Xenopus tropicalis: one gene and its partners. The protein of the gene in region 1 binds, or shares a complex with, the protein of each later gene. Links are inferred from orthologs where the notes say so. Each region holds a gene or a part of one and is shown in the gene's direction. Other genes may lie near its edges.

What was found.
Region 2: erc1 (region 1) and ppfia1 share a complex: the UniProt entries of both Homo sapiens proteins name them as parts of the cortical microtubule stabilization complex. The link is inferred for Xenopus tropicalis from reciprocal best matches to the Homo sapiens genes ERC1 and PPFIA1.
Region 3: erc1 (region 1) and ppfibp1 share a complex: the UniProt entries of both Homo sapiens proteins name them as parts of the cortical microtubule stabilization complex. The link is inferred for Xenopus tropicalis from reciprocal best matches to the Homo sapiens genes ERC1 and PPFIBP1.

The regions. Positions count from the first base shown.
Region 1 is NC_030679.2:9,627,551-9,631,204, reverse strand, and holds part of erc1 (ELKS/Rab6-interacting/CAST family member 1), read left to right. Parts: intron 1-676; 5' UTR 677-831; coding exon 832-1,500; intron 1,501-3,654. UniProt on the Homo sapiens protein: Regulatory subunit of the IKK complex. Probably recruits IkappaBalpha/NFKBIA to the complex. May be involved in the organization of the cytomatrix at the nerve terminals active zone (CAZ) which regulates neurotransmitter release.
Region 2 is NC_030680.2:14,493,523-14,497,176, forward strand, and holds part of ppfia1 (liprin-alpha-1), read left to right. Parts: intron 1-1,856; coding exon 1,857-2,120; intron 2,121-3,654. UniProt on the Homo sapiens protein: May regulate the disassembly of focal adhesions. May localize receptor-like tyrosine phosphatases type 2A at specific sites on the plasma membrane, possibly regulating their interaction with the extracellular environment and their association with substrates.
Region 3 is NC_030679.2:2,632,874-2,636,527, reverse strand, and holds part of ppfibp1 (liprin-beta-1), read left to right. Parts: intron 1-175; coding exon 176-233; intron 234-564; coding exon 565-736; intron 737-2,571; coding exon 2,572-2,604; intron 2,605-3,515; coding exon 3,516-3,654. UniProt on the Homo sapiens protein: May regulate the disassembly of focal adhesions. Did not bind receptor-like tyrosine phosphatases type 2A.

The DNA.
Region 1 (3,654 bases):
CTTACAATCTACAAGGCATCTGCCCAACTCCTTGATGTGGGGCCCGTGCTTGCAGTTTTCTTTCCAGGACTTCATTGTCCTGCCCAAGGTCTTGCTTTGGGGCCTCCATTTTGTGGTCCTTGGACTTGAATTTTGTAATTTCCTTATGGTTACATATGTTTTACCTGGAGAAAGTCACCTGGTAGCTTCATGTGGTTATGGAACCCAACACTGATTTCTCATATCCTTTTGGTTATACGTTAGAGAATAGATTATTCTGCTTATATATTCTTTCTGCGTCTGTAGTTGGTGTGTGGGTGCACGTTGAACTGTTAGGGGTCCCTTTGCTCCATTGGATAAAATTAAGTGCAACTTCACCCTGTAGCTTAGATAATCGTTGCCATACATGGATCTACAGAGTGCTGACTTGGCAACTTATTGGATTGGACTATGCAAGGTGGCCTCACAATGGCCTTCACGATTATATTTGGCCAAAACCGTACCAGATATCCATCGGGCAGGTTAGACAATGTCATTGGGCAAAGACCGCATCAGAAGTTAATTGGGGATAAAAGAGCACCCCTAAATTAAATAATTACCCTTAAGGCTGTTGAAGGACATTTCTTCATGGGCTTGCAACCTAGTAGTCCCGAATGCTCATTTAGTAACCATCTCTCATGTTTTTGCTTCTCTGCAGGTCACATGAACTGGACATCTGAAAAACATGGAAAATCCGTTATCTTTTATAAACTTTTAATCGTTTGACACCATTGCCCCTAATCCCTTGTGGGAGAAGCAGAGGAACCCTTTAACTTTTCATTTGCGTACAAGCCACCACCTCCGATCGCAGCCATGTATGGAAGTTCTCGCTCCGTCGGGAAGGTGGAGTCCAGCAGCCAGAGTCCTGGCCGCTCTCCGAGGCTTCCACGTTCTCCTCGGTTGGGCCACCGCCGCACAAACAGCACCGGAGGGAGTTCTGGAGGGCCTCCTGGGGGTGGTAGTGGAAAGACCCTGTCCATGGAAAATATCCAGTCTCTTAATGCTGCTTATGCCACGGCGAGCCCGATGTATCTCAGCGACCATGAAATTGTTGGGGGCGACACACCCAAAAGCACCATGACTTTGGGGAGGTCCGGGGGTAGACTTCCCTACGGCGTAAGAATGACTGCAATGGGAAGCAGTCCCAACATCGCCACTAGTGGCGTGGCCAGCGACACCATTGCCTTTGGGGACCATCATTTACCACCGGTCAGCATGGCCTCCACCGTCCCCCATTCATTACGCCAGGCACGAGACAACACCATCATGGACCTCCAGGCCCAACTCAAGGAAGTTCTGAGGGAAAATGACCTTCTGCGCAAAGATGTCGAGGTGAAAGAGAGCAAGCTGAGCTCGTCCATGAACAGCATCAAGACCTTCTGGAGCCCCGAGCTGAAGAAGGAGCGAGCCTTGCGTAAAGACGAGGTGTCCAAGATCACTGTGTGGAAGGAGCAATACCGGGTTGTCCAAGAAGAGAATCAGGTATGTTAGTGCTTCTGTGCTTGTATTCTGAATATGTGCTGATTGGTTCTCTCGGGCTAGCCTAGTGGCTTCTACTCAAGGCATAGGGTGGCCCTTAACGGGGTTGAAAACCTTTGCGTTCACTTTAGTATGATGTATACAGTAATACTTGCAATTGGTCTTTATTTTTATTTGTAGCTTTTTTAATCATTTCACTTTTTGCTCAGCAGCTCTCCACTCTGTAGTTTCAGTAACTACAGGTATAGGACCCGTTATCCATAATGCTCGGGACCAAGGGTATTCTGGATAAGGGGACTTTCCGTAATTTGGATCTCCATACCTTAAGTCTGCTAAAAAAATCAATAGACCATTAATTAAACCAATAGGATTGTTCTGCCCTCAATAAGGGGTAATTATATCTTAGTTGGGATCAAGTACAGGTACTGTTTTATTATTACAGAGAAAAGGGAATCATTTAACCATTAAATAAACCCAATAGGGCTGTTCTGCCCCAATAAGGGGTAATTATATCTTGGTTGGGATCAAGTACAGGTACTATTTTATTATTACAGAGAAAAGGGAATCATTTAACCATTAAATAAACCCAATAGGGCTGTTCTGCCCCCAATAAGGGGTAATTATATCTTAGTTGGGATCAAGTACAGGTACTATTTTATTATTACAGAGAAAAGGGAATCATTTAACCATTAAATAAACCCAATAGGGCTGTTCTGCCCCAATAAGGGGTATTTATACCTTAGTTGGGATCAAGTACAGGTACTATTTTATTATTACAGAGAAAAGGGAATCATTTAACCATTAAATAAACCCAATAGGGCTGTTCTGCCCCAATAAGGGGTATTTATACCTTAGTTGGGATCAAGTACAGGTACTGTTTTATTATTACAGAGAAAAGGGAATCATTTAACCATGAAATAAACCCAATAGGGCTGTTCTGCCCCCAATAAGGGGTAATTATATCTTAGTTGGGATCAAGTACAGGTACTATTTTATTATTACAGAGAAAAGGGAATCATTTAACCATTAAATAAACCCAATAGGGCTGTTCTGCCCCAATAAGGGGTAATTATATCTTGGTTGGGATCAAGTACAGGTACTATTTTATTATTACAGAGAAAAGGGAATCATTTAACCATTAAATAAACCCAATAGGGCTGTTCTGCCCCAATAAGGGGTAATTATATCTTGGTTGGGATCAAGTACAGGTACTATTTTATTATTACAGAGAAAAGGGAATCATTTAACCATTAAATAAACCCAATAGGGCTGTTCTGCCCCCAATAAGGGGTAATTATATCTTAGTTGGGATCAAGTACAGGTACTATTTTATTATTACAGAGAAAAGGGAATCATTTAACCATTAAATAAACCCAATAGGGCTGTTCTGCCCCAATAAGGGGTAATTATATCTTAGTTGGGATCAAGTACAGGTACTGTTTTATTATTACAGAGAAAAGGGAATCATTTAACCATTAAATAAACCCAATAGGGCTGTTCTGCCCCAATAAGGGGTAATTATATCTTGGTTGGGATCAAGTACAGGTACTGTTTTATTATTACAGAGAAAAGGGAATCATTGACCATTCTATGACATACTACACGGTAACTTAAAGGTGAACCACCCCTTTAACTAGAAGCTATTCTAGCCATTGTGCCCTTTTTACCCTGTTGCCAGGTTTGTATCCGTGCCCAGGAAACTCACTGCTTGTGTAAACATCCTTCATAAATCACACAGAGCCTCTTGTTTCTCTGCGTTGCCCATCGCCCCCTTCTCACGTATAAAGAGCCAAACACATGGCCACCTTATGTACATAAATATAAGAGGTATTTAAGCCGAGCCTAATTGCAGAGTTGCTGGGTCTGGCTGGGGTTTTGTACATGGATTTTGGATGCTGCTGCTGCTGCCACTGTGCAAACAAAAGCGCTATGCAAAGAGAAAGAGTTCGCATTCGGGTTGGATTTTATAACCTCTCGGACCCGTTGCCTGGTTAGCAGGACTGGGCTCGGGAACTTGACTTCTTGTTTAAATATTCCCTTTATGGTGTCTGTTTGGAGAGGCTGATCTTTCCCAAGGTCGGTCAATAGTGTTGTCCGTGGCACAGGACTCTCTCCGCTTTATTTTTATTGGTTTGGGGATTTACAGTCGGACCAATA
Region 2 (3,654 bases), on another chromosome or scaffold:
GTAGACAGATTTATTGTTGTTACTTTTCATAACTTACTTTTCTATTCAGGTCCTTTCCTGAAGTCTCTCATTCAAACCACTCCCTGGTTGCTAAGGTCATTTGTACCCTAGCAACCAGATAGCTGTTGAACTAAAATTGAAAAACTACAGATAATAAAAAAAATGAAGACCAATTGCAAATTCTTAAGTTATTACGCTCTACATCAAACGATCTATGTGTAAAGCATTTTTATTCAGGCTTCCTGTAGCCTTAGGTCTCATTTATTCAAGCATGTTAATTAGCCTTATTATGTTGGACTGAGTGAATTCTATTCCAATTAAAGGTGTGGTGTAATTCATTACTTTTCTGTGTTATACTAAAGCCGGCTATACACCTAAGGTCTGCTTAATTTGGTATAAAGGATCCCCATTAATGGCAGCACAAAGTGCTCCGAGAAGGATTTTATTACATGAAACTCCTTCTGGTGCAGGTCAGGGGCTTCTTTTCATTGTATTAATGCTTTATTGATTTTTTAGTAGACTTAAGATATGGAGATCCAAATTACAGAAAGACCCCTTCTCCTGAGCATTCTGGATAACGGCTCCTATATCTAGAATGCTCAGGAGAAGGGGTCTTTCCGTAATTTGGATCTCCATATCTTAAGTCTACTAAAAAATCAATAAAGCATTAATTAAACCCAACAGGATTATTTTGCATCCAATAAGGATTATTTATATCTAGGTTGGGATCAAATACAATGTTCTATTTTATTATTACAGAGAAAAGGGAATCATTTAACCATTAAATAAACCCAATAGTACTGTTCTGCCCCAATAAGGGGTAATTATATCTTAGTTGGGATCAAGTACAGGTACTGTTTTATTATTACAGAGAAAGGGGAATCATTTAACCATGAAATAAACCCAATAGGGTTGTTCTGCCCCCAATAAGGGGTAATTATATCTTAGTTGGGATCAAGTACAGGTACTGTTTTATTATTACAGAGAAAAGGGAATCATTTAACCATTAAATAACCCCAATAGGACTGTTCTGCCCCAATAAGGGGTAATTATATCTTAGTTGGGATCAAATACAATGTTCTGTTTTATCATTACAGAAAAACGGGAAATCCATTTTAAAAATCTGATTAAAATGGAGTCTATGGGAGACAGGCTTTCCGTAATTCTGGATAATGGATTTCCGGATAACGGATTCCATACCTGTATATAATGGGAAGGTCCCTGATTACCATATATACCTGGCTGTTTTATATTCTCCTAATTACTGGGTTAAAAAAATGTAGCAGAGGCCAAAGCGACAGACCTAAAGAAAAGTGATTCTGCTACATTGTTGCAGGAGTCAGAACCAGAGAAGAGAAAGGAAACAAGCTAGCTCTTTTCTGTAATGTTGTAGATGGGATATCCAATTTAGTTACCTGAAACTACTCTTTTGACTGTCTAAGGGATTGTGTGAGTTGCAGTTCAGCAGCAGCTGTGCGGAGTCTGGTTAGATAACCCTGCTGTGAGTACTGTAAGCAGTCTGGGTGATCTATATGGCTGTCTGTTGTGTAAATATCAGCTTTTACTTCCCTTTTATGCCACGGATTTCAGATCACTCAACACCCATCCCTGCTTTGGTTTTATCAGCTGTTACACAGGGCTGGGTGTTTCTCTAGTCTGACACCTTAGCAGGAAAACATGTCAACACAGCCGTGCAACAGGACCTGGTTCAGAGTTTGTGGCTAAACACGAGCGTGTTCGTTACCTGCTTATTACTGCTTATTGCTTGCTATGTCAGGCGTGGATTTGATCTTATGCCAATGAATGTTCATTAAAGGCGACCAATCGGCTAATTGATTTCTCCTTCCTTTCCACAGATGATGTGTGAAGTGATGCCAACAATTAGCGAGGCTGAGATGCCATCCGGGGGCAATGGAGGCCATGGCTCCGGGTCTCCTTTACAGGCAGACTCCGATTCTCATTTTGAGCAGCTTATGGTGTCCATGTTGGAGGAAAGAGACCGACTGCTCGACACACTGCGGGAAACCCAGGAATCTCTAGCATTGAGCCAGAGCAAGTTCCAGGAAGCCAGCCATGAGCGGGACTCTCTCCAGAGGCAGCTGAACACGGCCCTTCCGCAGGTACAAGGCTTTTTTGGGGTGTTTTTACCCTTTGTATCAGTTTGTATTTGTTTATGTGACTAAATATATGTGTGTGTGTGTATATATCTATTGTTAAAGGGGAACTACAGAAATGTGTTAAAGACACTACACATAAAACCCTAATGTACTTATCACTGTAATCTGTTCCCTTAAAAAGAATGAATAAATTCCATTTTTATATGCTGAAATCCAGGTGCAAAACACTTCCTCTCTTCCTGCATCATCTGAAATCCTTTCAGGGGAGGAGGGACTAAAACACTGATGTTACAAATTGTAACAGCTTACAGACAGTATGCAAAGACTACATTACCCACAATGCATTGCACCGTGATGTTCCTTTCCTTGTTGACATGACTTGTGCAGGGAATTGTGGGATTGTGAGGATACAGGCTGAGAACAGGTGACTACTGTTACATTTTATTTGAGTCTCAAAGTAGTCAGCCAGATCAGCAGGGGAACAGGGGGCGGGGCTTAGGGAACTGTTCCAATCCCTATTATTACATTAGACATTATGAAAAGGCTGCGTATTTTTTTATTCATGTATATTACAAAGTTGCTTCAAATTATGTTTGTTTCGAAAAGTTGTGTTTGGGTGAGTTCCCCTTTAATTGGAAAATCTCACCTGCCTGAAGATAACTGAGGGTCCAGTGTTCTAAAATACCACAGTTTGGGAAGTGCTGTCCTAAAGAGTAGAATACAGAGTAGCAATACTCCAGCCAATAGAACCACTGCCCTACTTTATTGTGATTTTTGTGACTAATGCTGAGCTGGTTGGTCGGTTTGTACCTGTGACTGGTGGGTACTGGGTTCTGAAAGCTTCCCAGTGCTTGTATAGAGCCTGTTATATGTTTGAACTGGGATTGGGAGGACTTTTGTGCATGTCAAGAAGAAGCTGACAAGGCAAGTAACACTGACATTGTGCTTACTGCGTCTTCCTCTGGGCTTCTGCTGATGTGCTGTATTGCATACACTGTACATTGTAGCTGAGCAGATTTTTGTGCTTTAGGCTCTAAATTCTATCCAGCGTGTTCTAGCCAGTGTGTTTTAGAGCTTGTCTGGCAAAGGGTGTTCAGCTGATTCTTCGGCCCATGTATTCAATATCTGGCCGAATACATTGCAAGGGTACCCCTCGTTGATTGGTTTGTTCAGCAGATGCCTTGGCTGGATCATTTTTTGCCTAGTGTGGCCCTTCAGAATATTATAACTGGTGTCTTTTTTGGGGATTTCCTTTACAGATGGAACCTAATGAATTGTACTGGCACATTTATTAAAGTGTGTAAGCCAACATCACAGAGGATGTTGCCCATAGCAACCAATCAGCAATTAGATTTTAACAGTCACCTACAAGTTAGAAAACAAAAGCAAAGATCTGATTGGTTGCTGTGGGCAACATCACCGGCGATGTTGGCTTACACACTATAAATATGCCCCTTAGTGTGCTTGTTTTTGGTTACCCTTGGGTATATACCGTGTTGTTGCATCTACACTCCTTTCAGGCCACCAACTGTTTATT
Region 3 (3,654 bases), about 7.0 Mb from region 1:
ATGGGTATCGCCCAATAGTGCCCGACCAAAACAGCCCTTCCTCCATCTTTGCTGACAGTATGACCACCGGGGGGGGCATACATGACATTGTACTTTGGGGTTTACTTGCCCTTTACTCTCCTGTCTCAATGTATTTTTTTTATGTTTAGTTCCCCTTTAATTTTCATTTGTTCAGATCGCCAGTCTCAAACTCCAGCAGCTTGGATAACCTGAAGAAGGAACCTACAGAACTGGTGAGTGCCCCGGGGGGCGGGGCACAAATCCAGAAATGGGCGGGGCACAAATCCAGAAATGGGCGGGGCATTAGGAGAGTCAATGAAGGCTGTTCCCTTTCGACCAGCTTTGGGCAGGCGTACTTCCCCTTTATATACCCACCCCCCCACCCCCTGCAGGGCCCATTATTAAAACATGCCTGCAGTACTTACCTATTTCCTTACCTCTACTTCCTGGATCTGCTCTAGATTAAGCTCCGCCCCCAGACAGTGGGCAGGGCTTGCTCTGCAGAACTAACTGAATTTCCAGCTGCCGCATCTTCTGATGTGTTTTTCTTGGTTTACCCCTCAGAGAACGGCCTCCCCGGAACCGGGCAAGTTTGAGACCCTCCCCCCGCGGCCCCCCGGCCAAGGAGCGGCCACCGACGACGAGAGTTTCGGCACCCGTAAGGCCCGGTCGTCCTTTGGCCGAGGGTTCTTTAAGATGAAGAATACCAAGAAGACCTCGAGCACCCCCAATCTAGGTATGTAGCACCCCCACCGTGGGGCAACTCTCCTCTACTGACCCCTGCGTGTCGTACGGGTAATGACACTGTGTGTAACTAAGGGGGTGCTGCATGGTTACAGAGCTCGACCTTAAAGGTCAATTTGTGGCTCAGTTGCCCTTAAGGAAAGTTAAGGTTTAGGGGCCCTGAGTCTTCGATATAACTTCGATATAATCTACTCAGCCCCAGACTCTTGGTTGTTAAGGTAGATAACCCGTAGCAACCAGGTAGCAGTTCAACACTGAGAGCGGCAGAACAAAAAAAAAATGTAAAAAGTTGTAAAATGGGTCTCGAGTTGTCTGAACCCTAAAGCACAAGCAGCTTGTGTGTCCCTTCCAGCGAGGGGTTAATGAACAGTTCCAGCATGTGGGCGGCCAAGTCTCCCGGGGGTTAATCTGCTTCTGATTCTTCTGTGGGAATGTGAGAGCCCCTCCCTCTCCCCTGTCAGCAAACTGCCCCCCCCCAGAATATGCAGGTTCTGCCCCCTATCCCATTCCCATCAGCCCCTGCCCCAGTGAGCTTACAATCTAAGGTCCCTATCCCATTCCCATCAGCCCCTGCCCCAGTGAGCTTACAATCTAAGGTCCCTATCCCATTCCCATCAGCCCCTGCCCCAGTGAGCTTACAATCTAATATCCCATTCCCATCAGTCCCTGCCCCAGTGAGCTTACACTCTAAGGTCCCTATCCCATTCCCATCAGTCCCTGCCCTAGTGAGCTTACAATCTAAGGTCCCTATCCCATTCCCATCAGCCCCTGCCCCAGTGAGCTTACAGTCTAAGGTCCCTATCCCATTCCCATCAGTCCCTGCCCCAGTGAGCTTACAATCTAAGGTCCCTATCCCATTCCCATCAGTCCCTGCCCCAGTGAGCTTACAATCTAAGGTCCCTATCCCATTCCCATCAGTCCCTGCCCCAGTGAGCTTACAATCTAAGGTCCCTATCCCATTCCCATCAGTCCCTGCCCCAGTGAGCTTACAATCTAAGGTCCCTATCCCATTCCCATCAGCCCCTGCCCCAGTGAGCTTACAATCTAAGGTCCCTATCCCATTCCCATCAGTCCCTGCCCCAGTGAGCTTACAATCTAAGGTCCCTATCCCATTCCCATCAGTCCCTGCCCCAGTGAGCTTACAATCTAAGGTCCCTATCCCATTCCCATCAGTCCCTGCCCCAGTGAGCTTACAATCTAAGGCCCCTATCACATTCCCATCAGTCCCTGCCCCAGTGAGCTTACAATCTAAGGCCCCTATCACATTCCCATCAGCCCCTGCCCCAGTGAGCTTACAATCTAAGGTCCCTATCCCATTCCCATCAGCCCCTGCCCCAGTGAGCTTACAATCTAAGGTCCCTATCCCATTCCCATCAGCCCCCTGCCCCAGTGAGCTTACAATCTAAGGTCCCTATCCCATTCCCATCAGTCCCTGCCCCAGTGAGCTTACAATCTAAGGTCCCTATTGTTGGATTCATGGCTGCTGTAACACAACAAAGTGTTAAAGGGGAAGTTAAACTGACTAATAATGTTGCAGATCATTATCTCTTTATCATTAAATGATTTCTGGTTTCTAGGGTCAGTGACCCCCCCCCCCCCCATGGCAACCACAATCGGTGTTATCAATGAATTAATAACTTCCAGTGACGTTCATCTCATGTAGTCAGCCTCTCACGGTTGTTAGGATCAGTGACCATAGCAACCAGAAAGCTAGTAGGAATGCGACCGTTTCTCTCTGGCGCCCCCCTGTGTTCGGGTTGCTGTACTGTCTGTTACCAATAACTGTCTCTCTGCACATTCTCCACATTTTTTGTCGGAAATCCGAAGACCGCAGCCGGAGTGCGAGCGCCCCCGCCCTAGGTATAGTAAATTCGCATGTGCCCCTCCCCCCATCGTGCTGTGCCCCTCCCCCCATCGTGCCTCGCTGCCCCTGTACCCACCCATCGCTGTGTTGTGCCCCCCACTAAATCATCCCTAGGATCCATCACTAATTGGTGTGATAATAACCCACGCCCACGGGCGCCGCCCTAACCCCGCCCATAACGCTCATCGTTCTTGGAAAAACGCACTAATGTGGATATTTACCCCCCCATAGAGACGCTATAGCAACCGCTGCCTCGTTTTAAAGGGAAAGTATACTGTGTGTAACCCTTTAGCTGCCGGCCGGCCAACTACCGACTGGCACTTAAGGGGTTGAAAGGTAGGAGGGGGGTGTGGCTTATTCAGCGTACGGGGTGGGAGCTGCCCTATGGAATAACAGGAGAGACCGAGGTGTATTTTCCCTTTGCAATACATTAACCCTTTAGTGCGCTGGAGCAGCCGCTCAACGCTTGGCGCTTAAAGTGACGGCGTCATTGTCGCAATTAATAACGACTTCCGCCATAAGGAGACGTTTGGAAAATAGACTTTGCCTTTAACTTCCCCTGTCTTTGCCCCGTCCAATCCGTAACCAGTATCCCCTACGTGATGTTCTAATCCCGCCCCCTGGGACGGATCCAAACGGAACCAGGGTTCTATTTTCCATAACTCTCCTTATTGGCGGTCGTTAGCAGGAATTAGCGCTGAGGCTCGTTAGTGGCGCGGGGGCAGCTTCTGGGGCAAATTCATTTCGGGGGGGGGACGTTGGAGAAGGAGGAGGTAGGTATCCCAGGATCCTCTGCTCCCCCCGGTGCCTGTTAGGGATTCACTGAGTAGGTTCCGGCTTCACCTGGACCCAATATTCTGCTTTTGTGTGACCCAAACTCTTTCTCCCCCCCCCCCCCGGGACTCAGACACGGAGAAGGGATCCACTGATCACCTGGATCTGGCGCTCTCTTCCCCCAACTCCATGGATGGAGGCAGCACCCACAGCTCCCCCTCCTCCCCCGACTACAAGAAGAAACCGCGAGGGATACGGAAACTGTTTGGGAA